3 linked regions of the Astyanax mexicanus genome follow. The main gene of each other region encodes a partner of the protein of the gene in region 2 in a complex. Links are inferred from orthologs where the notes say so. Each region holds a gene or a part of one and is shown on either strand. Other genes may lie near its edges. The genes, in order: snip1, snrpe and rbm48.

Region 1 (10,677 bases), on a different chromosome or scaffold from region 2:
TTAAAGCGTGAGACATTATAGCTACAGTTAGTAGAGAGCTAGATGCGATTTGTGTCGTTATATTAATGAGCTGGGCTTTTTAAACTAGCTAAACTAACTAACCTAGCTAACTACATTACAACCTACACCCATATAACAACCAGCCTGCTTCCAAATAACAATTACAGGCGTTTAGAGTTTGAACCCAGAAATGCAGACTTTTATTTATTATAACAAATAATTATTTAATACTTAATAATTTTAAAATAATCAATTCGAATAGCAAACCAACTAGCTAGCCTTAGGTAGCACTTGGTTAACTTAACTTACATAATAAAGAGTTACTTTATACCTCCTAAGCTAAAGCTTAAAAGGCAACTCGATCCTACCAAAATACAAACTAAACATTTTAATTAAAAATGTTTTAAATTACACAAATATGAGTTGCACTGAACAGCAAAAAAGCACGAAATAACGATACATCCCCAACGTGAGTAAACGCCGCCGACACAACAGCCGGGTCACCGTCCTGCTCCACTTCAAAACAAAAGTCCCGTAAAGCAGAAAATGCATGTACTTTTCTAATCTGTTATTTTATTCTAACAACGGTAAAGTAAACGTACTATTTAAACGGGCTGTTTTATATAAACCCTGGTGGGGGAAAAAACGACTCGGAAAAGCATGAATTCCATTTAGCAGTATACATTGTTCTTATCTCCAAACATATAGAACTTGCTATTTAAGTAAAACGGGGTAAAAAAAAAAAAAAGTTACTCTGTGAAATTTAATATAAATATACAATCAACTTATTTTTTTAAACATGTATTTTTATACATTTTTGGGAAATATATTGTTCTGAGCAATGAGTGTACAGTAAAATGGCTAATATCCAATATGTAAGTTAATGAAAAGATTTTTTAAATATATATTTTTAAAGCAATTTAGGGGGTAATTATTTTACTCAATTCCAAGAACAACTGCTGCAATTAAATGAATGAAATATAAAATAAAATTAAAAGTGACATACAGACAGTATGAACCTGAGTTAGTGGTATGTTTTAAAAATGTGTTATATGTTCAACATGTATTTTTGGAAATGTGGGGAAACCTGTTTTCCATAATATGGCAACCTGAACAGCTACAGTACAAATTCTCGCATAATTATCCTGCTGGCATTTCAACATATGTGTAAATCATGTCTATAATGTTTCAAAAAGCTTTTCTCGAAGGCAACTGTTTTAATTATACTTGGAATCAAGGCAGTTAATACCAGTTCAATATAACAAGCTGGCCAAATTCTGTAAAATATGAACTTTCACAGTTTCACCAGTAACTTGTAGCTGTATTATGTGATTGTTGGAAACCAAAATACTTTGTTAAAACATGGACAACTTACCCAAGCCGACAAGTGTCCAATAACATTTATTTTGAACTTGCTAGGACTTGGCCTTAACTGGAATTTTTATTTTCAGTTTATTTATAAAATGCATTTTACCCAAGGCAATCTTACTGTAAATACATCCATTCATTTGCATTATGATCATGTTAATTACATTACTGAGCAGCAAGAGTATTCAACTGCTTTACAGAGGGTATTAAATTTTAGCAACCAGCAATCACATTTCCATCTGCTTTCTGTAGTTTTTCTTTTTTTGTAAATAAAAACCTGAGGAACTCACACTCTTACCACAGTACATGGCCCTTCTCACAGGCTTTGAACTTTACATCACATATAAACTTTTTGTATACATAATGTATATAAACATTGTTATTTTACTATTCAAATGAATCAGAAAAAAATCATTATTGCTTGTTTTTTATTTTATTTTACCATACAAAACATCTAAAAATGCATACAGATCTGCAACCCAAAACGTTCAAGCAATGTCATCACATATGAACCAGAATACAGTCTTAAGCTGTCTTAGTTTTACAAAGCAACAATAAAGACATTTTACTGCTATGAGACTTTAAAATAAGAATGTCTACAAACTACAAACAGCTTTTGATATCAAATAAATCATAGAAACTAAAACAAGTGAAACAATGCTCACGTTGCCTACATCCAGTGTATTTACAATGAAAAAGTCTGGATGGAAACCTTTTATTGACAAATTATAATTATCCAAAATATATATTTTTAAGTCATTTGCTCTGGCACTGAACACTTGATCTGAAATTACTACAATGGGCAGTGCTAGACAATCCGAAGCTGATGCTGTTCACCTGAGAATAAGAGTTAAACACAGAAAGTTGTCAGACTGACACCAGTCAAGTTTTTACAGACCTTGTCCACAACATAATAGTAATGTCAAAATCATTAATAAAAGAACAACCCATTAAATTCTGGGTCAATCACAGCGATCTTGATCATTGATTCAGGGCTCCTTTAAAGAGTCCCACACAACAAAAGTACTTTGGTGAACTTTGAGTGGTGACTACTCATCAAGCCCTTCATCCTCCTCATCAAGCTCCTGTTTGGAATCAACTTCAGCGGTGTCTGAGAATTCATGCAGGAGCACATACTCGCGGCTGCTGAATCCAAATTTCAGCACATCTTTCTCCTTGAGCTCGTAGTACCGCTGTGATTCAATACGCTGGTTGTTCAGGTATGTTCCATTGCCTGAACCAAGGTCAATAATGTACGGCTTTACTCTCCTGCCTGTGGTACCATCAGCTCGTTTGTGCTCCACCAACCTGGAGATAACAAACAACAGGTATTACATTAATAAATCATATCACAAATTCATGAGGATTTACACGCTACTTTTGAAAAATTATACTGTATGGGACTCCAGGCTACAAAAGCCATAACAAAACAAGTTGAGCTTATCAATTTTTTTTTTTCATTATTTCTCAAAGTTTTTGTCTTTTCAAATAGCCTTTTCTTATCACATGGAATTGCAGGGGGGATGCAGGTGAGACATTAGTTAAAAAAAAAATAATTAACGAATCTGCCATAAAAGTGTTTTATTTACATTGTCTTAAAAAATAAAAATCACAATCCAATTTAAGTAATGTTTTTTTTTTCAGTTTATTGGTCAGTTAAAAAGAAAAGTTTGGACAAATGGGGTGACTTAACCGGATTTTTTAAATATTGACGTGTGTTTTAGTCAATGCGGTGCCTCCAATTTCTCAAAAAGGTAGAAAGAAAGAAAAAAGGCTGCCAATGCCAGTACAGTAAAATGAACAGGCACATACACCTATTTCTTTAAAGCATCCTTACCTGTACTGAAACACAGCATGCTGTTTTGAACAGGAGGGGTGATCAATAGGTATGTCGGCAATCTTTCTTTGTCTTCCAAGGAGATATGCACTCTGTCTGTGGATGTACATGACTGGAAGTGGCTCATCATTCTTAAAAGGGTACAGTCGCCATCTCCTCTTTGGGATTCGGGCCTCCGGTGGCTCGTTGTACTTAATAACAACTCCTCGAAATGTGTTGGTGTCTTCCACCAAAGCACCTGAGAGTTCAAAGTTGGGCTTCTCTTTCTCAACAGCAGGTCCAGACACATCATCTCCCTCTGTGCCATCAAACTCATGCATCTCATTTCCGCCCTCTGCCTCCTGCCGGAGACGGTTTTCTCTGCGACGCTCATTGTTTTGTTCCCTTTCTGCTTGCTGTTGCAGACGTGCTTCCCGTTCACGAGACCTCTCTCTCCGTCGCTCCGGCCCTCTTTGACGCTCTTCCTCCCTCCTACCCCGACGTTCATCAGGCCTATTTCCTCTTTCACGATGATCATCTTTTTCCTGAAGGAGAAAACACAGATTATGCTTAGTATGTATAAAAAAATCAGCATCACTTATCTACTCCCTAAAGCATAATTAGAAAAACAAAAAAAAATGGGTTAAATTGTGTTTCTGCAATTAGCAAACCCATGATCTAAATAAATATTATTATTATTTGCATGAAAGGCTGGAAATAAACCTGGAAAACAAGTTGCAAATAGTACATTGTTTTGATACAGATTTGGTTGCATGTTTTAGGGCTGCTTTGTGTGGTGGGACCATTAAATGCTATATATATACAAACAAAACTCATGATCTATACTGTGAGGTCATACCACCCAGTCCAATACCAAATGAATTATGATCATTCTATCTTGCAGTTTGAATCACCCGCTTTATCCGAACATCAGAACTGCGGTATGGACTGCGACTTCGCTGGCCTCGGGGGGACCTGTCCCTTTCCCTGTCCCGCTGCTGTCCTGATGATCTGTCCTTTCTTCCCGGAGATCTGTCTTTTCCTCTGTTTAAAGAAAACAAAATGTGTGGCAATAATTAGATTGTTGAGATATTGAACAACATACTTAGCAAGAAGAGACCAGGAGATTATATCTGTCCATCATAATTTATTTTACTTCTGGACAATCCTAGATATAAGGAGTGCATTATTAGTAGCATGATATGTTGGATCATTGACATCTGTTACAATCTGAAGTTACAGGTGCTACATATCATATTGTATACAAAAGTATCCCCATATAAACTGTAATATTCATTTATTGCAGTAGTTTATACTTGAAATGTTTTTAAATTACATATCTTGTCAAACCACCAATATAATTATCACAAAAATACCCCGAAATATCATGATATTATTTTACGGCCATATTACCAAACCATGCTATAAGTTACACAGGTTTGTTTATTCTGTCCACATAACCTGCTTCTTTTTCTTTTTCTCATTAGACTATTGTGTTTATCACTACTACGTTAACCGAATTTCCAACACTCCTTCTAGTGACACTAAAATATTGCTATTATTATTACTAGTTTAATTAGTATTATTACTACAAGCTACTATCATTAGCTTCAGCTACTACTGCTACTTCTACAACTACAGCTTCTACCACTATTGCTATTACTTCTACTACTACTGCTGCTTCTAGTAATTACTACTACCAGATAGATTAACAGAGAGAGAGAGGCAGACAGTGTGTGTTAAGCAGAAAGCGAGTATAGTAGAATAGAGTGTGGCTGACCGGTGGTCGTGTCTCCTCGGGGGGCTGCTGCTGCTCGCGCCGCTGGACTGTGAGCTGGAGCGGCGCGCGATCCGCGGCCTAGCGGGACTAACTTTCTCCTCTTTAATTCTGATCTTCCCGTCGCGCGCAGGGGAGTGCCGGTCTCTTTTCCTGGAGTCCATCCCGAACACAGACTGTTCTCTGTTCTCTTTATAGAGCTAAAACTGAGAATCCGCGCTTATTAAAGCTACATGCCTCACCACAAACTTCCACTGCTGCCAGATCTGCTCCCTGTCCGCTCAACAAACCAGCCCGGCCTGCCTGCGGGAACCGAAATTCAGTTCCGCCCTGTGGAAACTTTCATCGCCACCTGGTGGAGACGCTGATCCAGTTCACAAACAAAACACCACCCTCCTGCCGCTACAGTTGTTTCAAATCTGCGCAGTATCTGTAGATTTAAGGCAGATATTAAAATAATACATATAAATAATAATACATTTCCACCCACATGTGTAAATCTTCTTTTTAATAAATAATAATTTTGGCCAAATTTAATAATCATAAATAATCTCCTCAAAAATATGCAATTATTTGTGCACATCGATTTTCCATTGAATCATAATTGATTCAGCGTTATGGTTTTATACGTATGGTTTGTATTCAACTTTACTTACATTAAATACGTATTTCTTTGTTTGTAATATATTCGTATAGCCTGTACTGTGCTGTTGCAGTGTAGAAAAGTACACCTTTCACTTATTATCGGTGTGAGTGTAGATTTAGAACCCTAACCATTCAAGGCCTATGAAATGTTGTAAGGATTTTTAGTAAAATCTGTCAAAAGTGTCTAAACTGCGTTGTCAGAGCGAACCCTTATGTGCACTCCAGCCATTCATGTGTTAGTTTTAACATAAGCTGTAAATGAACGAAGAATTTGATGTTGGGACAGTTTTTACTAACAGCTGAGTGAGGCACTCTCATTTGAAAAACATATCAGGAAACAGCTCCCTCTAGGTACCGGATTTTGCTGTAACACCGGTTGTTGTTTTTTTTCTCACACGGTCTCCAGGGTTGCCATAGTAAATGTAAACAGTTCTCATACTCAATTTCCTCTGAGCTGAAACGTTACTGAAACTTTTTTTTTTTACTTAAAATTCACTTTGTAAAAATGGAACCTCCCCCCGACTCTCTGCTGAAGTATGATACTCCGGCGCTGATCACACCGACCACAGACAACAAATCACCTAGGGTAAGCTGTAAGAAACCTTTGAGTTAAGTAACGAAGTAACAAATTGGAGGTCTTGACTTTTGTTGAAAAACGACTTATATAACCTATACATTTTATCTAAAACTGTAACTTACACCCCATTTTGCTGATTTTTATTTACAGCAGAATGGTATTCTTTTACTAATACTAACTTCTACATATATATTAACACATTAACAAATACTTATATATGAATTTATTTTTTTGTTATATAATTTAGTTAAAGTTATACTCATTCATTGAATTTTACGTTTGAGTCGATGAGCTCATTCTGTTCTGTAGTAAAATAATTTCTAGAGCATTTAATATTTTTGTGATTCGGTAAAAAAAATGGAATGATGTTCATGATAATGATTTAGGTTATGAAGTTATATTTTCTTTTTTTATGCTACAAACTGAAATATGTGTATATATAGACTTAAAAGTTACATTTTTTTTATGAGGCAGCTCACAATAACAATAGCAAAGAATATAACTTTAACTGATTCTTAACTTAGTAGCTAATATTTAGATTTTGTTGGAAGGGTTTAAATAATGTTAGATCCAGTATGTTCATGTACGTTATTAATATTTCTTCTAATATTTCTGTGATGGTTAATGTAATTGTATGGATAAACATAATTTGTCACTGTTGTAGCTATTTAAGTGGTGATCTAATAGAATGACAGTAACATTCAATGGAAGTGGGAAAAGACAATTTAAAAATATATAAATATTTACTGAACCCATGCTTGAGCCTGTAAGTACATAAACTATCCCATTTATATATTTTTTTCTATCAAACAAACAACGAATCTAGGCTAGACCTTTGAAAGTGAGTCCACAGCAGCTGGTTTTATCTGGGCCCGTCCCGCCTCCACCTAAACCCAAGTCTCCCCCTGCAGAAACTGAAGAGATACTCAATGCAATTCTGCCACCAAGGTAAGATATGTCTTTCCTCTTCTGCTCTATTTCTAAAACAGCTCTTCATAATGTGTTCATGTTTAACGGTTATAAGCACCGATATTGCAGGGAATGGAAAGAGAACAACACGCGCTGGATTCAGCAGGTGTCCAGCACTCCTGCCACACGGATGGATGTGGTTCACCTGCAGGAGCAGCTGGAGCTGAAACTGCAGCAGAGACAGGCCAGAGAAAAAGGCATCTGCCCAGTGCGCAGTGAGCTCTACTCACAGTGCTTTGGTGAGTTTACAAAACAGCAGCCAGAGGAATTTTTAATACAGTACACGTGTTACTAGACACTGATAGCACTGTATACTGGCATGCCAGATGTCATGGGACATAGGGTTTGTATTGTGTCTTTTTCCATGCCCCATGGATACTAAAGAACGCTGCTCTGAGGTGCAGTATATACATATGGGGTCTAATGCATTTAATATGGATATGGATGCTTATCTGTTCATTAAGGCAATTCTAGCCAGATGCTGCCAATCACAATCATTACCAAGCACTGCGCTGTTCATTGAAGGTGGTAATGATAGTGACTGGAGGCATCTGGCTAGAATTGGCTAGTAATTCTGTCTGATATTTCTTCACTAGTGATACTTTGGATCAAATGAATGCTATATGGGCGCATAACTTTAAAAATGGAGTTTCCCATCCATTTGGCACCAACTATCAGGCCTCGCTCAGACAACTTATTCACAACCATCTTATGTAGTTTTTGTGGTGAATTTTTAGAAGCTTTAAACACTTAAGACATCTGCTTCCAATCATAACTTACTGTATCTTAATGAATGAAATGTAGACAATTTCATTTACCCTACAATTGGCCACTTTTTTGAAAGCATTGCTTTGCTTGTGGCATTGTACTTTACTAGCAGAAAGTGAGGAATGATTTATGATCTATATTATTCAATGTTTTTCTTTAATCACTTTAGGGCCATAGGTTCACAATCTTGTGAAATACACAATAGCAAGACATGTAAACACACAGCTCATTTAAAAACATATTATTTGTCCTTTAGATGAGTTAATCAGGCAGATTAGCATCAACTGTCCTGAGAGGGGGTTGCTACTTCTACGAGTGCGAGATGAGATACGTATGACCAACACAGTCTATCAGACCCTGCATGCTAGCGGTATGACCTTTGGCATAAAGAAGGCCCTACAGGCTGAGCAAGAGCCTTCAGGCAAGCAGAGAGTAAGTACATCAGTCTGCCTTTCTCATATATTTTTTATTTTATTTGAAATGCCTTAGTCTGAGACTATGTACTATGTATATCTTATCTGTAAACAAAATCGTAACTGAGCTGTACTTTAAGATTGCAGACTTAGAGAACAAGAATAAGGATCTGGAAAGGCAGGTAAATGAGCAGAAGGCTAAATGTGAAGAAATCGAGAGGCAAGAAGCTGAGCGGCGACAGGTTGAAGAGAAACAGCACACGGCACAGGTCCAGCTTCTCAAGCGCACCAACCAGCAACTAAAGGTACATCCATGACAATCAGTCAGCTTCTTATGCTGTCTTAGTATGACACTGAAATGTACAGTTCCTAAAAGTATTCACTCCTTTGGATGGTTTTCATTTTTATTCTTACTTAAATGAGGAAAACACATAGTCAAAGGGAAAAGTAATTTCCACACAGTGATGTAAATTAAATGAAAAAGCAATGTGAATAGAATGTAAAAGTAGTCTCTTACTTGCCATACTCGTTACGTTTTATGATGACAAATTTAACCGAAGTTTAAGGGTTGTTTAATGATGTAATTTGTATCCATCTCCCGAGTCCTCACTTGTTAACCTTTTTTCTACGAAATGTTATTTTGTCTTGATGTTATATTTGTAGCCAGGAATACTAATTTATAAGTGACTGGACTTTACAAACAGGTATATATATATTAGTTTAAACGTTCACTGCATTCAAGTCATCTCCATTCCACCAATTCTAAAATTAATAACATCTACTGATTGCACCTCTGTTAAATTAGGTACAGTAGTTTTAAAGGGGTCAGTATTTATACAGTCACTTATTTTACAGTATATGGTTTTATTTAACCGACTATCTTGTATTGTATAAACTAACATTTATATTGACAATATATACATTATACTTGTGTATACTAGCAAAAGAGGGGAAAAACATGGAGGTGAATACTTTGTATAAGCACTAATTTTTTTTTATTTTTTATTTTTTTAGGCCCATCTGGAAGAAATCATCACCCCCCAAAAAGGAAAATCATCAGCAATCAGCGAATAATCATATTTGATCCCAGCATATTAATAAAGTTTGACATGTACACATCTGTATAGTTTATTAATGATTTCACTCATCCTTAAGAACACCCAGAGTTTGAATATTGTTGAACAACAACATTTTCTTAAGGCACAAATACTCAGGTAATCAGTGACCACAGATCAAAATTGTAGGTGTAGTGACTCAGAACCATCATTTATATGTGGGTGGAAGGATGATGTTTTGAATAAAGTGCATCTGTAAGTGGCAATTTAATCACAGATTAATCAAACCCTCACAGTAAATGCTCTTCATACACATCTTTCAACATCCCAACCCAATGTCCGAGAACATAACCAAGTCCATAACTAAGACATGCGTTAGAGCAGACGGCCCTATCGCTTCGCTCTTTTGCCTTTACTGCCTTCCGTGGGCATTTTCCGGTTCTTGTTTTTGTTCTTGACGTTGTGTGTGTCATAATAGCGATTCCCGATCTTCTTCACTTTTTGGGCACGCTCCATTCTTCTTTTCTGTTGGAGGAGAAAAAAAGTAAGTACAAAATGAAGAAAGAGAAGATTAATGTGAGTGATGTGGGCTGAGGAAGACCAGAAGCATTCTCTCTACCCTTAGAACACTATAAAGAGCACACATCCATCTGAAGTGTCTGGATAGATGGATGAGATGTCTGACATCAGTAGGGGATCTAGGAGAACAGCACGTACCTCTTTAGATGTGAGTTTGGTCGGCCGCGCCGTCTCCTCGTCTTCCAGAGCTTTCCTCTTTCTGCCGATATGCGTCACAGCTGAAGAACAAAGAGAAGCTGATGAGTGCGACTGTTTGCTCTTTAGAAACACCAAACCAATCTCTGATCAAGCTGAATCTGCACTGCTCCAGAAAACGTGTGTAGATGTGTGGTCCCTTCCCCTGATGTGTTTATCAGTCAGAGGTGGCCACATGCAAGCTAGCAAATCTGATTTAGTCAAGTCTTTAAAGAACAGCAAGAATCTAGCAGAACCATATGTATAGTATGTAAACCTACAGTGTACTTGATAAGACTATTTTTATGTGTTATAAAATATTCTCTATATTCTGAAAGAGGTGTGTTAAGTATAACCGTAAGGACGGTAGCTCTCGAAGAGCAGGGTTGGTGACCACTGGCCAATATCTATTTCTACACTATATCGATATCTGGCATAAGGTTAAATGAGTCTGAAAATTTTTACAAAAAAAAACAAAAAACATTTGAGCATACGTCATATAAAATATATAACAAGCAAATAACCCGCCAACCACA
Region 2 (10,677 bases):
TTTTGCATGGCCAGTTGTACAAACAATAAAAACAGTGCAGTTTGGAACGTAAATCCACACCACTATACTATATAATGTTTATAATGTGAGTCCACAATCAGCACCATTTGTTACACAATCCACTCTCTCAGAAGCCTAACTAAAACTACAACCCATGCTTTTCAAATACTTTATGCATGAGAAGCTACCTGTTAAAAAAAAAATCATAAACAACTACAGAATGCTCCTCACTGTCTGATCTTTGCGACTATTTCAAGTAACAGTTATTATTGAGCCAGTGAGCTTTTAAGACCATTCAGTGCCATCGATTGTTCGGAAATGTGCAATATAACCTTAAAATTGAGAAAAGAAATAATCACACAAATACAGCAAGGCTATCAACTATGCAATAGTAGTGTTGCAAGTTTTAAACACTGATAACGAAGGCAATGTTTGACATTTTGGTTTGAATAAAAGGCTCACTCCTCATTAGGCAATAAACTCAATTGCTACATATCAAAAATAAAAAGGTGTTGTTGCAATACTGTGCTGATAATACACACCAAAACGTAATGCTCAAGAATGTCAAAAACCCAGTGTTGACCAAGAGTTGTAATTAATACTGAAAAGTTGGGGGTTTTGGGTTAAAACACATTGTGAGGTAGAAAACGGCACCAAGCTGAGACACACAACTGTGAATTAGTTTGGGTTTGGGTTCAGGTGAGAACATATACCGAGTGGCAGTGGGAGGGCACAGTAAAGGTGATCCAAAGCGAACTGTTACACTTCGCCGAAGTTGGTGTGACCCGTCTCCTTGGCATGCTCTCTCGCCTCCTTTTGTCCCACCAGGCCGGTCTGGCACACCATGCAGCGCAGCGCGAAGCGGTTGACGTCCGTGTACTGCCGCTTGCTCCTTGCCTCGTCAGCCAGCTCCAGGGCCTGCGCGAGGATGATGTCGTCGGTAGTGGAGAAGACAGTCTGCGGTGGGATGTCCGAGCCAGGCGTTGCCCTCTGCAGCGGGTCGTAGTGGATTCCGTCGTAAATAAGCAAGACACGTTTCTGGTAGCCAGCATCCTCGCCAAATCGGTCCACACGAACAGTTTGCGTGTCCACGACACAGATTTCGCACTGGTAAAACTTGGACAGGATGGAGACCTCAATAGCACCCCCCCACGTGTCATCACGCCGGATCCAGGTGCAGTATTCGTCGTTGCTTTTGCCCAGTACTGCCTCTGAATAGGCAGCTGCGTCACTGGCCACGATCTGGGCGATAAGGCCGCGCATCTCGGGTGCGCAGGCTGGATCATACACACCCCCCTCCACCACGTAGTTCACACTCGTAAAGAGGCAGGAGTTGTCAGCAGGAACCACTCGGCGCTCCAGAACAGGAGAAGAATTTAGGCATGGGACTTTTGTTAGAGCAGCATTAGTCTGGACTTTTGGTTTGTTCTTTTCTTCTTCTACAATCAGAGTGTCTCCTGTAAGAGAGGTTATGAAGGGAAAGCGGGGAGACAAAAAAAACATTTTTGTAAATGTTCTTTCCAATAACCAAAGATATAGGTAGCAATGTGAACAAATACCAAAAACTATGCAATTCGGTGTGAAATGGACTTGAAACGTGACGACCAGCATTGCAAAATACAGCGTTTTTAGCCAATGCTCCCCAAACAGGCTTATGCATGTTAATGCACGTTAGAAGCTTTGATGAGTGCTCATGCAAATATCGTTTTAAGTTTTCCTAAACTCCTAACGAGCCACAACAGAGCTCCATACAGTTTAACCCCAAATTAGTGTGCTTTTTTTGTTGTGTCTGTCCCAATTTTTCAAAGTGTATACTTTACTAACATTGCCAAATAGTAAGTGAAAAACATCCTGCAACCTTCCCGCTTCTTCCTGCTTGTTAAAGAAAAAATATAAATACATAGTTATATGTTATTTTATGAAATAAATATTTATAGAAAATTCACTGAATTAACAAAAATTGTGCTACATCATAATATAAATTATCAGAATATCAGAATATCCAAATATATATGATATTTAGATATGAATATGGATTTTTTTTTTCTGGTTATATTGCACAGCCCTACTGGGTAAAGTCAATTCATGTTTAAAAATCAACAAAATAAAAACCTCACCTGATTTTATAGGGTAGTCTTTTAGGTGAGCATCTCCATTGCGAAGATCCAAGCTGGATGGTGGGTAGCCCACCATGATCTTCTGAACGTCGCATGGAATTCCAGTTAGCTCCTCTACCTTGGTTTTCAGCTCTTGGACACAGGACTGGTGCGTGAGGCCTTGCATCAGATGGGTTCCATTCTTGGCCTTGCACCTCAGTCGCAGCATCCTGAGTCCCTTCAGTTCTGCTTCGGAACAAACAAACTCAAAGATGTAGTATTACTTTTACTTGCTTTGGCTTCTTGGACATCTTTGTTGTCGTGTTCACAACTGGTTAAACTGTCAGTTCACAAATAAAGAAAACGTGATCCTTCTTTAAAATATTACGAAAAATTTATAAAAGACGAATCACAATGTCAGATATCGTTATTTACAGGAGATCCTAGACCTTGCCTCCTTTCAGACGTAAATATGAACAAAATTGAAATATATGCGTAAATTTGACCATGTTTTAATAACAATTTTACCTTTTAAGGAGCACCTATTTTTGTGGGTGTTTTCGCAATGGATTTCTCACACATGCTTCATCAGATCACAATAAAGCTGCTATTTGAATAGGTAGTGCACTATATGATCCTTTGAAACAAGTACTTTTACACTTTTCCTTGAGTAAAAAACTTGAGTTGTTACTTTAACTTCTACAAAAGTATTTTTAAACCACTATATCTATACCTCAACCTGAATAATGAATGTGAATACTTTTGACACCTTTGGTTAAGGCATTCCTGAGTAAATAATTTAATTCCTGAAAGGATATAGTGTGATTTTGGGGACCTAAATAAACCAAGCTGCTGACCACTGCCTCAGAACCAAACAAAAGGGAAATAAACAAAAGACACCTGGTTGTAATTGTCCACAAACAGTCGGTGAGGTAGCTGCCTGCCTAAAACAGACAGTCAGGTAGGTAAGTAGCTGACTGTGCTAAAACTGATGCAACAGCTTGGCAAACCCCTAAAAGTGTATCCAAATTTTGCTACATACTGTTAACCTGCTTGTAATGCTTTAGCTTCATTTATAATAATGTTGCACTGGGTATTGTAAGCTAATAATAGTTAGTAGCTTAGCTAACGTTAGCTAGCTAGGAAAGCTGCGTTAAACCACATAACCCAACCCAGCATATAGCTATCTTACAATAACCTAGAATATTTGCTAGTTAACTAGATTTAAACTCTAATAAAGCAGCCTTGTAACTCCCTTTACCCAAATTAATAAGAACTGTATTTTAGCTCAGCAATGTAACGTTGCATTAACGTTAGCCAGTCAGCTAATCTACCAAACCTAGCTTAGCTATGCTGGTCTTAATTCAGCATAATAGACAACTAGCTTATCTTAGTTTAGCAAGCTAACAGTTATCTTAGCAGCATCTCAGCGTCAATATTAAATGAACTTTTGCATTATTTAATCAAATACCGCCCTAGTTAACATCGCAAATCTGTCCCCAACAGAACCGTGCTCATATACGGTGGCTTTTAACCGTTAATTCGCTTAAATTGTCTGTATATCGTAGCGTTTCTCACCTCGGAGCGCCTTCCAAATAACAACACACTGGCCAACAACTGACATGCGCACTGCGTCACACCGCGTGCACAAAACAGTGCAGACGCAAGCAGTTGTTGAGCTCATGTCATCTTTCCACGTATGTCTGTGTTTATTTTTATGTATCAAGTTTTATTACATTAACTAAGTTACACGTTTTATGTATTTACATAAAAAACATAGCTTGTTATTTTAAATATAAAATAACTGCAATATTTAGAATAAGAAAATATCTTTTAACATTTTCACATTTTGCCACCTTACAACACAAAATTGTATTTGTAATGTAGTTGTATTTTATTGCGATTTTAAGTGATAGAGCAACATATAGTCTATAATATATATATATATATATATATATATATATATATATATATATATATATATATATATACACACACACACAAAAAAAAAACTATTAATTGGATTTCTGCATAAATTGGACAATAAATGTGTACTGATTTTCAAGTCACAACAATAAGCAAACACAGTCTGCTAACACTAGTGATGGGTCTGACGACCCTGAAACCTCGACACATGCGCCGAGCTGTCAAGGCGAAACCCCGTGTCGGTGCGCGTATCAAGTTAAGGAAAACCACGTGACCGATACACTTACTGTATCGTTTGGTAGCGATGGGTCTGACGACACTGAAACTTCAGCGCATGCACCGAGCAAACAAGGCGAACCCCTGTGTCAGACCGCGTATCATTTTAAGGAAAACCATGTGACCGATGCATTTCTTCGCGCAGTTGCTTGCAATGACTTTCTTAGTCCAGCAGATGTCGCCATTAAGTGATACAGCAACACAGTTTCAACACAGTGTCGATACAGTTTGGGAAATGTGCCATACACCCAATGAGGCTTCATCTGCCCATCACTATTGGTGAATATAAATCACGCGTCGCACAACAGAGCTCTCAGAAAAAAAAAATGTCATAAATCCATAGATAATTTTAAGTTCAATTTTATATGAATCCCTCTTCTTTTCTTAGTTTGAACTGTGTTTGTAAAATCAAAAAGAACAAAGAGAGAAGCGGTAGTAAAGGTAGTAGTTTCTGAGCGCAGGCAGCGTCTCAGGGCCGGTCTCTGTGTGGTTAGTCCTCCTGGTCGCTGCGCGGCGCTGTAGTAAAAATCAGCCCCAGGCAGCTCTCTCCGCGCTTCCCCCCGCCATCGCTGCTACACCAACGTGAGGAGATCGTTCCCCGGCGAGTTGTATTCTCCAGTTATTACAGTTATAATATTTATATTACAGCAGCAGCTCCAGCCCCGCGGATCAGCAGCATGGCGTACAGAGGACAGGGCCAGAAGGTGCAGAAGGTGATGGTGCAGCCCATCGTATCCTTTACTACTGAAACTGATTCACTGCTGGAGCTCCACTCCATTCATTTAGCTTTAGCTTTAGCGCTAGCTCTAGCTTAGCCTCTACTCACTTCTGTAATGTTACCTGCGTTAGATAACCTATCTAGCTTATCTTATTATATCGGACTACTCTAACTGCTATATTACTCGCGGTGGGTTAAATTACTGCAGATAGAATGTGTTTGGGGGAGTTTATAAAGAGTGCACTGATTCAATAACTCTGCTAACATTAGTTACATATAAGTTACGGGGTTAGTGTTGGGGCTGTACTCATATATATATGTATTTCTATCTGTATATCTGCATATCTGTATATCTATTTATGTGTATATCTGTCTATTTATCTGTATATTTATCTATCTGTATATCCATCCATCTATCCGTAATTTTGAGCATAGGGCAGGTTCTTGTTTGAGTTTGATAGTTTAGCTAGTTGGACTACAAGCAAGATAAAACTTACCAAGCTAATCTAGGCAATGGGGCTGAGCAATACGGATCAATTGTTAAATGGCGATATAATATACATATGTAAATTCCAAAAGGTAATTTGCATAGGTCATGCAGTAAAATGCATATAAATAGTATAGCATATAATAAATTAGAATATGTTGTGGTATTAAATGTTGTAGAGCAGTGTGTGTGTGGAAATAATCAGGTGGACTAGTTCGATATTTAATGAGAATGGCTTTGCTAAATTGTGATTTTTGCCTGTGCTAGTTGTTTGTCCTTGACTTCTGTCTACAGAATCTGATTTTCAGGTATCTACAGAATGTAAGTGCAGCTTTTTTATGGTTATTATTAATGGTCTTGTATGTGGGTACACAATAAGATAACAATGTGAATAATAAAATAAAGTGCAGACAATTTATTCTCATTTTATGACTGCACCGTATTTAATGGTTATATTGTGTATCACAATTGTGGTTCTAAGTTTGTGCTGTTGTTAATAATCTTTTTGTCCTCTTTTCTGCAGCGATCTCGTATCTCGGTTTGGCTCTATGAGCAGGTCAACATGCGGATAGAAGGCTGCATTATTGTAAGTAATTATTTACTGACCTAACTAATCAGAGAACACTATATTTGTACTTTGCAATAACATGCTTTCGCATTGCAAGCAGTAGCCACACCGCTATAGGCTGACCCTCATGGGTTAGTTGTTTCCCCAGCACCAGGACAGTTTGGCGCTGATGAAGACCACTGTGGAATGCGTTGCGTTTTCACACCCATAACCATACCTTTGCCATGCTACTGCTTACCACAGCAGAAAATGCATTGTAGTCCAAACATGGGCAAGTGAGTAATATTGACGATTAATACAGTTAGTTACACTCATATAAAAATATCAGGAAAAAGATAAGAATCAATGCTTTTTTTCTGACGTTAAGACAGATGTGTGTCTACAGATGCTGTAGCTACACCACACATCAAAACACTTGTAGATGTGACTCATTTTTAAAAACACTGGCCTGTTATCATCAGGCAACCCTTGGCATCAGCAGTAGCACAACACAACCACAATTGGCTAGCTTCCAGCAAAGCAGAAAGCAATGTGGCATACCGATGGCGATGTGAAAGCTCCTTAAGCCCACCTGACCAAATAGACTATGTAATGTTTTCTCCTTGTTTGCTTTGTGTATCTTATCAGTTCCACCCAGCAAGTAAGAGCAATTTGTAGTTCTATAAGTACAGACTGTAGTTCTGCATCTGTTTCTGCATACTTTATTATTATCCTTATTTTACCCTGTTCTTCAAAACTCAGGACCCCTCAAGGCCACCACATTTCAGTGGTGGGTCATTTATTTTCAGCACTGCAGTGACTGTGGTTTAGCATAACAAATGTGTTTGGGATGTTGGTATGTGTTCTGCTGGTGTTGGTACAAGTAGATCCGACACAGCAGTGCTGCTGGAGTTTTTAAACACCTCTGTGTCATTGCTGGCGTTAGAGTATTCCACCAACTAGAAATATATCCAGTCAAGTGTCTTGCTCTAAGGTGGTCCTGTTGGCTTCTGACTATTGAAGAACAGGATGAATGGATGCTAATAATGTATGCAGAGGAACAGATGTGACTAGAGTGTGTATGTATAGCTTTCAGTACAGACTAATGTCTGTTTGTATTTAACCTGTGAAATGTATTTTTTGGGGGGTGTATTGGATTCGTTAATGGCCTCTGTTGTATGTTTGTTTTAATGATGTTATTTTATCAGTGCTATTTCTGTTTTTATCTTCTGCTGTAGGGGTTTGATGAGTACATGAACTTGGTTCTGGATGATGCAGAAGAAGTCCACATGAAGACCAAGAACAGAAAGACTCTGGGTAAGGAGTAGGGATAGGACTATGTCAATGTATTTGGCACTATTTATGAAGCTAACAATGTCTAACTTTGTTTAAGATGGACAGTTATTTTAAAATAGTGCAGTTGTGGGGTCCAGTTTTTTTTTCTTTCTTTAATTTGAAGCAGCTGGCAGAGGTGAAGTCAGTTCTTACACAGGAGCATTTTCATACAATAACTAATGCCTTCATTACATCGCAGCTGGATTACTGTAATGTACTTTATTTTGGGGTCAGTCAGTCCTCCCTCAAACGCCTCCAGTTAGTGCAACATGCTGCTGCCCTAATTTTAACAGGATCATGGAAGGGAGAGTGAATAACTCCCATTCTGCCCTCCCTCCACTAGCTGCCTGTAATTCAAACTGATTCTTTTATTATTATTTTTTTTTAATCTTTAAATGGATTCACCCCACCTTACTTTGTTGAGTTACTCCATCCTCACGTTCCTGCATGATGCCTCAGGTCAGCTGATCAGCTGCTCTTAGAGGTGCCATGGTCAATATCTTAAAGGGGACAGAGACTTTTAGATTGCTGCTTCCAAGTTATGGAACAACATACTTTTACACATTAGGCAGGCCTCTTCACAGTCCGTTTTAAAACTAGTCTAAAAGCTCATTTTAATTCTTTGGCTTTTAACCTAAAGTAAGATTTTGCTTCCGTTTGGTTAGGATTTTTTCTGTCTTAATTGTTTTTTATGTTTACTTTTATTTTTTTTGTCTTATTGTTTTAGTGTTTGTTTTTGTTATATAATTATCTATGTACAGCACTGTGTTTGAAACAACCAAAAAGTGCCCCCCAATTTCACTTACTAAAGTTACTCCATGTGGCACTAATCAAATGAATAGGGTGAACCTGCAGTAAAGAATATTGGTTGTGAAATTCTGTGAAACTGACACCAATAATTCTGTAATTTTTTGTGATTTGCTTATTTAGGGGTATTTTATTATATCATGATAATATTGTGTTGATATTCTCTGTGATTTCTACCCCCAGTGAAGTGTTGGACATCTTTCAATTTTTCCCATGGTTTGAATCATGTCTGGCAGGTGTACTGAAACGTTTTTTTTTTTTTTTTTCTCCAACAGGGAGGATCATGTTGAAAGGAGACAACATCACGCTTCTGCAGAGTGTGTCAAATTAGCCGTTCAGGTTCATCAGGATGATGGAATTTTATTTGGAATATTTTTGTTTTCATGTATGTGATTTTTCCTTTTGGGGGGGGATAGGGATGATTTTTTTTGTGAGCATGTTGACTCCTTGTACCTTAGCAGTGCTCGTGATGAGTGATGTTTTTTCTATAAAAACAAATTAAAGACTTTTTTTTGTTTCTTTGTACATAAGGATTTTTATTTAAAATTCAAATATGTTTGTAGGAAAACTTTTAAAACCTTCATGTGGTATTGAGCACCAATCAAAAGTTTGGACACTTTCTCATTTTATGTTTTTTTTTTTATTGAATTTGTTTTCTACATTGTAGATTAATATTAAAGACACAAAAAAAGTAAAGGATACATGTGGAATTATGTAGTAAAAAAAAAAAAGTGTACGTCCTCCACATTAATCCCCTGATCTAAATCTGATGAACTGAGATGGTGATTTGAGGTGATTTAATTGGGAGGAGCTGGAGCTTCACAGTGTGAAGAAAAAGCCGCAACTACTGTTCAGCACCTCCAGGAACTCCTGCAAGGTCCCGAAGAGAAAACTATTCCAAGTCACTTTACCTTATGAGATAAAATACCAAGAGTGTGCAGATCTGTCCTCAAAGATAAATGTGGTATTTAAAATAATCTAAAGTATAAAACATATTATGGTTTAACACTTTGTTTACGAAAAGCTTCAATAATGCTGCATGTGATCCTGTATAGCTTTAATATAGTCTTCAATTCTAAATTTACAATTAAACATTAAAGAAAAGAAAACACACAGTATGAGTAGAGGTGGGTCCAAACATTTAAAAGTTATGAATTAGGAATTGTCTAATTGCTAGTTTTTCAGGATGGGAACCTTTGCTTACACATCCATACAGTGATCAGTGATAAGTCTTACAGTGCACAGTATTTGTTTGCTGGACAAACGGGGGTTGGACAATGAAACTGAAACACCTCTCATTTTAGTGTGGGAGGTTTCGTGGCTAAATTGGAGCAGCCTGGTGGCCAATCTTCATTAATTGCACATTGCACCAGTAAGAGCAGAGTGTGAAGGTTCAATTAGCAGGGTAAGAGCACAGTTCTGCTCAAAATATTGCAATGCACACAACATTGTGGGAGACATACGAAGTTCAAAAGAGGACAAATTGTTGGTGCACGTCTTGCTGGAGCATCTGTGACTAAGACAGCAAGTCTTTGTGATGCATGAAGAGCCACGGTATCCAGGGTAATGTCAGCGTACCATCAAGAAGGACCAACCACATCCAACAGGATTAACTGTGGACGCTGTTAGAGGAAGCTGTCTGAAAGGGATGTTCAGGTGCAAACCGGATTGTATCCAAAAAACATAAAATCACGGCAGAATTCAATGTGCACCTTAACTCTCTTGTTAGCACCAGAACTGTCCGTCACCACAATAAATTATTGTGCTCTAAAACCAGTTTTGTTGTTCAACCCCTGCAAAGGACACAAAGTAATACACTGTTATAAATGTTTCCTCTTTTGATGCCTAATCCAGTTCACCAAATGATTATCAAAACCTTTATGAACTGTGTGTAGAGGAGTGCGTCTATTGAAAAGGGTTCATAAACTTTCAAGAACCACTGTAATACAGAGGCTCAACACCAGCAGATGACATGTCTCTCCAAACCATCACTGATGGTAGAAACTTCACACTAGACCTCAAGCAGCTTGGACTGTGTGTCTTTGCACTCTTCCTCCCTTGTCCTACCTCTTCACAACTCAACTGATGCTCTCACACACATTAGGAGGCAAGAAATGTAAGTTATTAACTTAAAGATTAAGTAATTAAAACAAATATTTTTAAAGCAGTCACTCAGGTGCTTTGAATCTAAAATATATTCTGGTTTGTTTAACACAATTTTCTTTACTAAATAATATGTTTTTCAGTTTGGATGACGTTTATAATCTACAATGCATTTTAAAATAATGTAAAAACATTACATTTAAGTTGTGTTCAACCTTATGACTGGTACTTTAATAGTTTTCAGATTGTTTTTTATTAATAGGCTCGAATCCAAGCCACATTTAAAGGTGGTTAGCAATGTGCCTACAATCTGATCTGCGGCAGTCTGGATGCTCTGGTCATTGTATATTTTTACTAGGCAAAAAACACAAACCTCAACAAA
Region 3 (10,677 bases), on a different chromosome or scaffold from region 2:
ATTAGTCCGACTATTAACAGTTTATTATAAATGAACTGCGTTTGTCTGATATTTCAAGTTAAGAGAGAAAGATACACTTACTAGTGTTCGTAGTGGCTGAAGTAAGACAGCCTGTGCAACTGCAGGGGTGCACGTTAGAGGACGAACTCTCACGGCAGAATGCAGGCCTATGCTCAGCCTTGATCGTAAAATGTTTGGGATCTGTGAAGAGAATAGAATAAAAAAATAAATGTATTATTTTTTACATTTTTATTTATTCATCATTGCACTGATTTGTGGTCAAATAAAGTTGTTATGCTGCTTCTTTAATTGCAATGTATCTACAGAGTACCAAATGATTTCCACACAAAGGATCCCACAATCTTTTTTGAAATTTAACAAAAAAGGTAACTTATGTAGCAGTTGTGATATTATAAAGATTATGATTATGTATAATTTCCAAAAATAATTTAGAATAAATAAAATCACAACATATTGCCCAGCCCTATGTCATATGAAATCTAAAAACATGTGCACTGTTACTTTCCTAGTACACAAGTCCAATTGCTGTCCAATAAAAAAACATATATCATAAAAACAACAACTTAAATGGGAAAAATAAAAAATTTCTTTCAATGGACGTAAATGTAAAAACAAAAAAAAAAGTTTATTTCAGCTAATTTTGGGAAATTTCTATTGGCCCATTCATCCAGAATTTTTGACAAGGCACACGGGGATAAATGTTTTTCATTAGATACTTAAGATTAGGTTTTTATAACAAATGTTTTAGACTAATTCTAGAAAAGTAAAGTGTATCAGTGTATAACACTTACCCACACCTTCCCACAGTAAATCTCTCTCATTCCTGAGGATCTTTGGTCTGCTTCCAGCTTTTCTGTGTTATGGCAAAGGATCTTGACCACCACAGACTCCTCCACTGGTTCCTGTGCTTCCTTTTTAGGTTGAGAGCTATTTCCACTCTTTTTCTTCTCCATCGCTTGCTTGGCTTGCTCTCTCACTTCTTTGGGAGAATGAATTTTAGAAACTCTACCATACGTTAACACTGGCTGTTGTGTACTCCAATAGTCATACTGTATTTGGTCCCATGGCAGCATGTGAACATCTCCATGATTTGGGTCAAGATGTCTGATTGCTCCGGGTGGGGTTCCACACACTCTCAGGACACAATCTGGGAAGACTGCGGGGACAGTGGGCACTTCTGGAATCTCCTTGGCGGGCTCATATTTCCCTGTGAACACATATCTCACCAGGCTCTGCAGGTCAGGTACTCCAGCCCAGTGTCTCTGACTGGGCTCCGGCTGATTGTGAATGGACTCAGAGAAAGAATCAGTTCCTGTGGAGGAAGGTGTGGAGGAGGATCCACGGTCTATGTTCTGCTGCCTCTGCAAGACCGGGTTCTTTGTATCTGGAGAAACTGGGGCAAGCTGCCTGCCTCCATGCCGGAGTTTGGGGGAAACAACCAGCTCAGTGAACTGCTCTAATCGACCATACGGAACAGATGGAGACAGGGAGACTACAAGAACAAGAGGTACAGCAATTTACAGACAGAACTGAGGATTTTAAAGAAGTATTTAATAAAAAGTGTTTGAAACAGACCTATCCTGATGTAGATGACAGTGTGTTGGTCAACCCACACAGGAAACACCCCAGAACAGAAAACGACTCGAATCTGGTCTAAAAGGTGCTGTTCCAGAGCTGTGCTGTGAAGCTCCTGGAAAACAAAGGCATTAGGTGTCATCAGTAAAGGGCAGTAATGAAGTAAATGTAATTAGTTGCTGTATATAAGTATTTTTTTGTTATGTGTGTATATAAACATGGCTGAATAATTTTAATTTTAACTCCACTAAAAGTAAACTTTAATATCTAACTTTTTTACTTTATAACATTATCCAAAACGTGTTGTTCCTTTTGGTTTAGGTGTGTAAGAAAAAGGGAACATGTCAAAACAAAAAAACATGAAGTGAGCAAACCAATATGGTTACAGCAGTGACTTATTTTTAAATATGTTCTGACCTGTTGTACTGTATGCTACCCTGTGCAAGCATAGTGCATCAGTGCAACAGTGGAATTTATAGAATATACAGATACATAACAGCAAAGAAAAAACAGTCTAAAAAGTTGTATTCAACTTAAACATGTAACTAAGTTGTAATTAAATCTTGGGGTGTTTTCACACCTAAAAGTTTGGACCAGAGTCTGCACTGAGGTTTGTGCCTTTGTTACATTTTGTACATTGGGTCCGGTTAGTTTTGGTTTCACACAGCAGTTTAGTAAGCAATAAAAGCACCCTTAAACTAAAACTTGGTCCCAACCTGGGAAGTTAATCCAATTAATTTGATTAACTGAATCTTACTGTTTAATTAAATTTTCAAAATGGGACAATGAAGATCGTACACCTTTACATATAGAAGCTGCCAGAGTGAATACAAAACAGAGATGGTTCTGATTAACCTACTCTCCTATTCTAAGAGTCAGCCTATCAGTTTTTAGTGTGGGTGGGCAGTGTTTTTTTATTTGGTGAATGAGACTCACCAGGATCTCCCAGTCATCTGAGGACAGAGGCTCTACAAACACCTGCTGCACAGACTGTACCTGACTACATGGACGCAGGAAGCCCTGAAAAACATCAAAAACAAAAATAAAAAAACAAAATAAAAAGCAAATCACATCAACTTAAATTACAGTTAACTGTAATACAGACATTTATCCAACTCCAGAGTTTACCTGTTCTCCTTCCTGAACTCCCAGTTTCTCCCCTAACTGTCTGTTCAGCTCAACCCTGTCCTCCTGACCTGCTGCGTGGCTTCTTATCCAGCTGAGGAACACTGGAGCAGATGATCCCCAGGACAGCTCCAGGGCCTGTGACTGCATATGACAATAAAAACAGGACAGTTAGACTAGACTAGACTGCACCCCAAGTTAATAAAGCAGGAGCAGCGTAGCCATACTATCACACACCCACTCTCACACACACCTCTCTGAGGGAGAGCTGAGACACTAAGTTGGATGGCAGGTGGAGAAAGCAGTTTTTGGAGTTGTTGAAGGCCAGAGTTACTGGCTGGATTCCGCAGTTCCCCAACATTGCATAAAGAGGAGCTTTAAAGCCTCTTTTAGCGCTGAAAGACTGTATAAATCAGCACTAGTGTTCAGGACCTGCTGCACTACAGAGGATCAGGCGCCATGCTGAACATGTCAATACTGTCAGACAGACCTGACCAATCCATCCACCAGCGTGCGATCATCACTACAATGTATATGAAGCTCAGTATGCCCTAACAAATAATAAACATTTAAACATATTTTCACATTTTAATATTTATTTATATTTGAAATATTGTTTTTAAATGGTCACAAATAATCAAAATAAATTAGGGAAGGTATATGTATATTTAAATGAACTAAAAATGTTACATTTAAAGATTTTTAAATTAAATATCATTTTTAAAAATGTGTTAGCATGTATCTTACAGAATTTAACAGGTCCTGTCATTAGAAAATGAATGTGACATGAAGGTGATATAGTTTAAAAGATCAATCTGCCCACACAAATAATAAATATTAAAAATATATGTTTACATTTTTATATTTTTTTATACATTAAATATTTTTTATTTATACATTTATATTTTTATCATAAAAATAATACAAATAAAATTGAAAGGGTATATGTTTATATTGTTAATAAAATATTCATACATGTAGGACATTTAAATTATTAAAAATATTAAAGGTTAAAATAGATTTTTTTTCTTACCATTTCACAAATGCATTAGCATGTATATTACATGATTTAATAGGTTTTTGTCATTAAAACAATGATTATCTAGGTAATGATAGTTTTAAATGTCTCTCTGCACATTCAGAATACAGAAACATTCAGAATATATTTAAGGCAAAAGTGTGGGAAACATACATCACAAAATATATTTCTTAATTTTGGTTGACACGCTACAATTCTGATATCAATATGAAAAGTATAAATTTGGGTTTCCACCCATGCTGTACATATTCACACACTGATAAATATTTTACACAATATTTAAAGACATTTTCACAATGCACAGTATTCAGACAGTATTTAGTATTTATTTAAATGTATCAGCAGTAGCATATTCTGCTATTAAATGCTCTTTCACAATGTTTTGTACAGTGATTATTAATTAAATCACTCTCTGTAATAAAATGTATGATTGGGTCAGTGTTCTTTAAGTAATGATGATACATCCTCGATTTCTCATGATACGATATTATATATATTGTACTATATTTTAGTACAAAAATATATACTATTGTCTATTTTTGTATTTATTAAAATTTTTATTTAACATTTTTTATTACATGATTACAGTTTATTTCAGTATGTGTTTCTCGCTGAACGTGGATCACTATCTGTGATTGATTATTCGGGTCTGGGTCTGTGTTTAGTTCTGCGCTGTTGTCGGGGACGCTGGGTAATCATCATGGCGGCTCTGAAGCCGGGCTCTGTGTGGGACACACCGCAGGTCTACAAACACCACGAGCAGCAGAGCGCCTGTCTCACCCGCCCGAAGTACAGAGAAGGGAGGAGACTGAAGGCTGTGAAGGTCAGTGAGCTGTTTTTACTGAAACTCCGTACTGAGAGGAGAATAACGGGCCTACAGCCCCAGTGTTTAGACTGCTAGCCTAGCTTAAGTTAGCTGTTTGGCTACACGAGCCTCCCTGTCATCACTGAATCTCCCCAAATCTATAGTTAGTTAACAGAAAGATAGACAATACATAATATATAATGAAGTATATATTATCTGTATACTGAATTATATAGCTACAGTACCAGTAAAACGTTTAAACAAACCTTCTCATTCAATGTTTTTTCTTTATTCGTTTATTTATTTGTCTTTTCTACATTCTAAATTAATATAGATCAAAACAATTAAGGGACACGTAGAATTAATCAGAAGTAATCAGAGAAACAAATATTGATTTCTGAACTCTTAAAACTTTATGAATATGAACTTGTTTTCTTTGCATTATTTGAGGTCTGAAAGCTCTGCTTCTTTTTTGTTATTTCAGCCATTTCTCATTTTCTGCAAATAAATGCTTTACATGACAGTATTATTTGGAATTATAGTTTATAGAATAAAACACTAATGTTCATTTTACTCAAACATATAACTATAAATAGCAAAATCGGAGAAACTGATTCAGAAACTGAAGTGGTCTCAATTTTTTTCCAGAGGTGTATATATAGGGACAGTTTCCCAGACAAAGAAGTCTAATCTTGGGCCGCATATATTTGTGAATGGAAATGTTCCACAATAAAGCAAAACAGTCTACGGCTCGGCTTAATCCTGACTGTATCCTGTATCTTCTGCTTTGTCAATCTGTAGGTTTATACGATTAACCTAGAGTCTCGGTTTCTGCTGGTGCAAGGAGTGCCTGCTGTTGGGGTAATGACTGAGCTGGTGCAGCTCTTTGCTCTCTATGGAGTGGTGGAAGAATACAGAGTACTGGATGAGTATCCTGCAGAACAGTTCACTGAAGTTTATCTTATCAAGTTCCAAAAGCTTACAAGTGCAAGGTGAGAATAAAACCTCAAACATGGAAAGATGTAAATCATACAGTAGATAGCATGGTTAGATTAAAATTGTCACTTGTGTTTTATTTAAAATAAGAATAATTTAGCATTTTTCTTAAACCCTGTAATGTGCATGTATTTTACTTAGGCTAAATAGTTTCATTGAATGTTGCCATTAAACCATATGCCAAACCATATTAAAATAAAATTTAAAAAACACATCCCCATTATACATCATAGATAGGATAGTATTTCGAAGTAGTATGACCGTTCTATTGACACACTCTCCTTGGTTTAGACATGCCTCTTAAGATGTTATCAAATGGACATTGTATACACATGTCCTCCTTGGTTAAGACATGCCTCTTAAGATGTATCATGCATGTTTTCAAGCACATTTTAAGATATCCCAAGATCTGTTGATAGCTGAGTAATTTTGTCTGTTTCAGGGCTGCCAAAAGAAAAACAGATGAAAGAAGCTTCTATGGGGGTCTGCTTCATGTTTGCTATGCCCCTGAACATGAGACTGTGGAAGACACAAGAAGGAAGTTACAGGACAGGAGAAGATATGTTTACAGAACAACCCAAAGATTAGGTATTTTGTACGCTTGCATCACACACATTTTTGTTTCTGCAATCCATGTAATTAACCAGTTTGTCTGGTTGTACTGCACCTTTATTACAGAAAGGGAATGTGAGCAAGAACAGGCTACAGAGAAAACAACTCCTGCCAGTTCAGAGACACCAGCTCCATCATCAGTGTATGAAGATAGGACATGTCCTCGAAGTTCCCAAGAGGACAATTGTAGTTCCAGCACATCTTCTAGCTTTCCATTATTGCCGCTACCACCTCATGAAAGAGTTCATCAGCACTATTTTTCATCTAAGGACTCATTTAAGTCTGTGAAGACTGTACATGAAGGCAGTGTACCTACAGAAGATAGAATGGGATCTTTACACAACTTCATCCCTAGTAACCGTGCCCCAGATGATTGCAAGCAGACCACACAGTGGTCAGACCTGCCTTCTGGTTCTACCTTTGGCAACGAAGAGAGAAGTATTATCAAAAAACCCAAACATCCGCCAAGCACTGCACCAAGGTTTATACCAAGGACTGCACAATTAGAAAACAGGAAAAGGAAAATGGAGGACAGTACAGACTTGTTAGGTGTGGCAGACAGAAATGCCCCCTTGTATGGACCCAAACTACCAGAACTACCAAAGATGGACATGGAAGATGCATCATTAAACAAAACGGCAAACATCATCAGGCAAACAATGTCAAAGGTCAGCATTATAAGTATTTTTTTTTACTGTTATGAATGTTATAGAATAGTTAAAACGTATGTCTGAAATTGTCTCTCTTTTTCTTTTTAGGTTGCATCAGTTCCATCTGAAAAGAAGACAACAGCTGTAAAAGCACGGCGAAGAATATAATTTTCTCTTGTCTTCAGTGTGCATTTTTTATTGATGTACTGTAATAGTGGTTTATTGTAAAATAGCACTGTTCATTTTTCTTTATATGAGTGATTCACTTGTTACTGGAAAGCATGTTGCTCAAATTCCAGGGTCCTCTGAAAACAAACAAAAATACACATTTATTTATTAAATTGTATTTTTCTATAAATGTCAAAATAAAAAAAATCTGAAGACAGACAACTGTCATTTTAAGTATTATTACAGTAAGATGGATGGTATAGTAAGAATATTAAATTATTAAAACAATAATGACACTCATGCAGAACATTGCAAAACGTAAAATTTAACAATTTTACCTTTGCATCAGGAAGACAAGTTCCGAAAGCTTCTAATAGCAGATTTTCCTCTCTTACAGACTTCTCAAAATCACTATATGAAAGTCTGCTGTCATGGTCATAATCCTGAATGCCGAAAACAGAAATCATTTTTAGTGTATCTGTTATATTTTTGACTGACTGTGCTCAACTATCTCCCCAGCTGTGGTCTCACCATTTTCTTTAGTATTATTTCCACAAGGTCCTTAATCCCTTCATCAGGTTCTTCTTCAGTCGGCTGTCTGATCAGACTGTTCTTCAACATGTGGAACATTTCCTCCCTCGATATGTAGCCATCTCCATTAAGGTCGTACACCTCAAAACAGTCTGATCGTTTTAGAGAAATGAGCATGGATTAAGAACAGTGATCTGAGAATTATCTTCATCACACAATCTGTTCAGCTCAGTCTTACATTTGATCTTTTCATCCAAGGTGCCTCGAAGGAAGACTGACAGTCCTTCCACCCACTCCTTTACACTGATATAGCTGTCATTGTCGCTGTCGAAGGACCGGAAGACTGTGTGGGTTGGAGAAATGTTGGCTTTAGAGATGTGATATTGACTTCTACAAGTTCTAGCCTTTACATATAGAAATAGTTCCCTTACCTCTGTCCATAATCATGTCGTCTGTCAGTCCAAACGTGTTGTGTAGGATGTTTCTGAATTTTCCCCGGTCCAGACCAAGCCCTGCTCTCTTCTCTGTCTGCCCTTCCAGCAACTCATTAAAGAGTCGAATGAGGCACTCTGCCTCTGTTTTATTAACTAGAGTAAGAGGATTGTTCTGGTTATACTTATTGACTTTCAGATAATGGCAGAGTTGGACAAACCATGAGCAGTATTAAAAAAAGATTTAAGTAGAGAATAATGTACAGAACTGCAATCAGAACATCTTACAGGTCATATTAAAATAATCAGCATGAATTGGTACACAGATAAGAGGTCATTGAAATAGTACATATCTCTTTTTGGGCTCATTGTTGTTTAAATTGTTAATTAGAGACCTTAGGATTGTATGGGTATAGGCTGTATATACACTGACATGTCAAAAGTCATGAGGTAGCAGAATGTAAATTGTTGATAAAGTGTTACATTATTACATTAATGTAATAATGATCGTGACCTGCAGTATCTGGCTAGAAAAGGAATGTATTATACGTTTATGTTGTCATTAAAACTGCTGGGTAAGAAGGCTTGGTTCTGTTTTATGGAAGAATTAGAGCTGCTACAGGTGTAGGCTTTTATATACTAATAGACAAAATAGGACATTTTTCTCTGACTGAAATGCAAAGAAGAGTTTACAGGGTTCTCACTCTTCAGAAAATGAATAATGTCCATTCCTGAAGTAAACACATACAATTTTACCTAATTCAAATGTGCGACTCCTTGGTTTTAGAGCTGTACTTGGACATGAAGAAAATTGGTGAAGTGGGTGGATGCCACTGTTTTTTGGGTGCCTCCGTGTCTGTTACCTTCTGGCTCTCTCCCTTTAGTTAGGCTGTTATATTCAGATTGGCCGGAACCACACTATGAAAATGTTGCATGTTGCTTGTTCTTCATGAATCCAGTCACCCACCACAGATCAGCTGCCCATGGCCCAGTTTATGCCAACGATCTTGGACTAGTTGCTCACTTTTTTCACTACTGATTACATCAAAATTTATATGAACTTTAACTAAGAATTGTTGTAACCACTTCTGCTGGTGCGGCTATTCACCTGAATACATTAGGTATTATTTATTACATTGTTATTATGTAAATGTTTAAAGACTGAAACTTTGAAACTGTGTGCAGTTTTAATTTCTCCTAGCTATTTGGGATTAGTAGGACCTAACCAGTAGAAAAACTTTGTCTTTGTAAGGGAAGTAATTTACTATTTTATTTTACAATTAAAAATGATCCATTGCCAGTTGGGATTAGAAGGAAGCATAGGCTAAAAACATTTTTTTGCTTTCAACATTAAGTAAATAAACTAGTTTTAAAAGTAAAATTGCAAAAAAAAAAAAAAAAAAATGCAATTTCTGTCTGGACTGGCTGTAAAAATATTTAACTGACACTGGGTTTCAAGAGGTTAAAGGTTGTCTGACCAAAGGAGGATGGATCCCCCTTATATATTAGCCTTGATGTTCTCAATATATGATGTCTCCACTGTCTCCAAACTGGAAATAAATAACATTCAGCTAGACTCATGAACCTACAGCTAGCTGACTTGCTTTATGTAGTTATGTAGTTTATGTAGCTTTTCCACACAACAGTGCAGCTTCACAAACCTCAGTAAATCAGGAATTAGTAGCATAGTAGAGTTATTGTGACTAGAAAAAAGGTTTCACGCCAAATATCTAGTCTGTTAGATATTCCAGGGACTGAGCTAAACAAGTTTACCTAAATTAGCTAGTTAATGTAGCTAGCCGATCGGCTAACCCATCAGATTTCTGTGGTTAACAAGTAAACAGTAGCTCAGAGGCAGTGGTGAATCTAAATACTCACAGTGTTTGGCTTGTTTACACAGCTTTTCCGCCAGGTTTTGGATCATTTTCTTAGTCATCGCCGACATCTCAGACATTTTAAACACAGAAACAACACACACATATATATATATATAAAAACACTGCCGCTGCCGGGATGTGTACACCGCGTTGCTATTAGCAACCCCAATCCGCGAGAAGGGGGAGGAGCAACAGCTGACCTTACCTTTTTTGGTAATACATTTATTTGAATATTATTTGTCCACAAAGTAATCACACACACACAATAAGGTAGAAATAATAATAAAAAAATCAAGCTATAGAAATGTATAAATTAAATCCAAATGCTATATGAGAATAAAACAAGCTATAAGTTATACAGTTACTTTACATTACATTACATTACATTTGGCAGACGCTTTTGTCCAAAGCGACTTACAATATTGAAGTGCAAATAATAGAAGAGGTTAAGTACAAAAATAATAGAAGTTAAAAATAAAGCATCTATAGATAGGGCCTTAAGGAGGTCAGAGGGAAATAATGGAATAGAGGAGTAGAGAAGAGGAAGAAGGAGATGAGGTTAGAATTAGTTAGTTTGTTAGAGGTGTTAGGAGAGTAAGTGCTCTTTGAAGAGCTCTGTCTTCAGGAGTTTCTTAAAGATAGCGAGAGATTCTCCTGATCTGGTAGTGGAAGGTAGTTTGTTCCACCATTGGGGAACTCTGTATGAGAACAGTCTGGATTGCTTTGTGTGAATGTTTGGCAAAGCGAGGCGACGTTCATTGGAGGAGCGCAGCGGCCGGGAGGTAGCGTAAGCCTTCAGGAGTGAGTGCAGGTAGGAAGGAGCCTGTACTGTCATCACCTTGTAGGT

What was found.
Region 1: snrpe (region 2) and snip1 share a complex: the UniProt entries of both Homo sapiens proteins name them as parts of the minor spliceosome. The link is inferred for Astyanax mexicanus from reciprocal best matches to the Homo sapiens genes SNRPE and SNIP1.
Region 3: snrpe (region 2) and rbm48 share a complex: the UniProt entries of both Homo sapiens proteins name them as parts of the minor spliceosome. The link is inferred for Astyanax mexicanus from reciprocal best matches to the Homo sapiens genes SNRPE and RBM48.

Annotation. Positions count from the first base shown.
Region 1 is NC_064413.1:32,222,307-32,232,983, reverse strand, and holds snip1 (smad nuclear-interacting protein 1), read right to left. Parts: upstream 5,272-10,677; 5' UTR 5,126-5,271; coding exon 4,965-5,125; intron 4,229-4,964; coding exon 4,099-4,228; intron 3,730-4,098; coding exon 3,206-3,729; intron 2,677-3,205; coding exon 2,418-2,676; 3' UTR 1,772-2,417; downstream 1-1,771. Other genes in the region: dnali1 (axonemal dynein light intermediate polypeptide 1), read left to right, coding at 6,112-6,192, 7,010-7,131, 7,222-7,391, 8,177-8,352, 8,474-8,638, 9,348-9,407; gnl2 (nucleolar GTP-binding protein 2), read right to left, coding at 9,779-9,913, 10,106-10,185. UniProt on the Homo sapiens protein: Required for pre-mRNA splicing as component of the spliceosome. As a component of the minor spliceosome, involved in the splicing of U12-type introns in pre-mRNAs. Down-regulates NF-kappa-B signaling by competing with RELA for CREBBP/EP300 binding.
Region 2 is NC_064431.1:7,024,455-7,035,131, reverse strand, and holds snrpe (small nuclear ribonucleoprotein E), read left to right. Parts: upstream 1-4,833; 5' UTR 4,834-4,975; coding exon 4,976-5,029; intron 5,030-5,797; coding exon 5,798-5,824; intron 5,825-6,026; coding exon 6,027-6,089; intron 6,090-7,288; coding exon 7,289-7,367; intron 7,368-8,467; coding exon 8,468-8,523; 3' UTR 8,524-8,722; downstream 8,723-10,677. Other genes in the region: yod1 (ubiquitin thioesterase OTU1), read right to left, coding at 760-1,457, 2,118-2,345, 3,675-3,780. UniProt on the Homo sapiens protein: Plays a role in pre-mRNA splicing as a core component of the spliceosomal U1, U2, U4 and U5 small nuclear ribonucleoproteins (snRNPs), the building blocks of the spliceosome.
Region 3 is NC_064410.1:48,090,396-48,101,072, forward strand, and holds rbm48 (RNA-binding protein 48), read left to right. Parts: upstream 1-4,426; 5' UTR 4,427-4,460; coding exon 4,461-4,583; intron 4,584-5,366; coding exon 5,367-5,557; intron 5,558-6,003; coding exon 6,004-6,149; intron 6,150-6,239; coding exon 6,240-6,841; intron 6,842-6,931; coding exon 6,932-6,991; 3' UTR 6,992-7,092; coding exon of another isoform or gene 7,093-7,128; 3' UTR 7,129-7,164; downstream 7,165-10,677. Other genes in the region: pex1 (peroxisome biogenesis factor 1), read right to left, coding at 82-201, 813-1,513, 1,597-1,711, 2,533-2,616, 2,725-2,865, 2,975-3,082; efcab1 (calaxin), read right to left, coding at 7,093-7,128, 7,330-7,434, 7,523-7,674, 7,761-7,865, 7,954-8,109, 9,832-9,907. UniProt on the Homo sapiens protein: As a component of the minor spliceosome, involved in the splicing of U12-type introns in pre-mRNAs.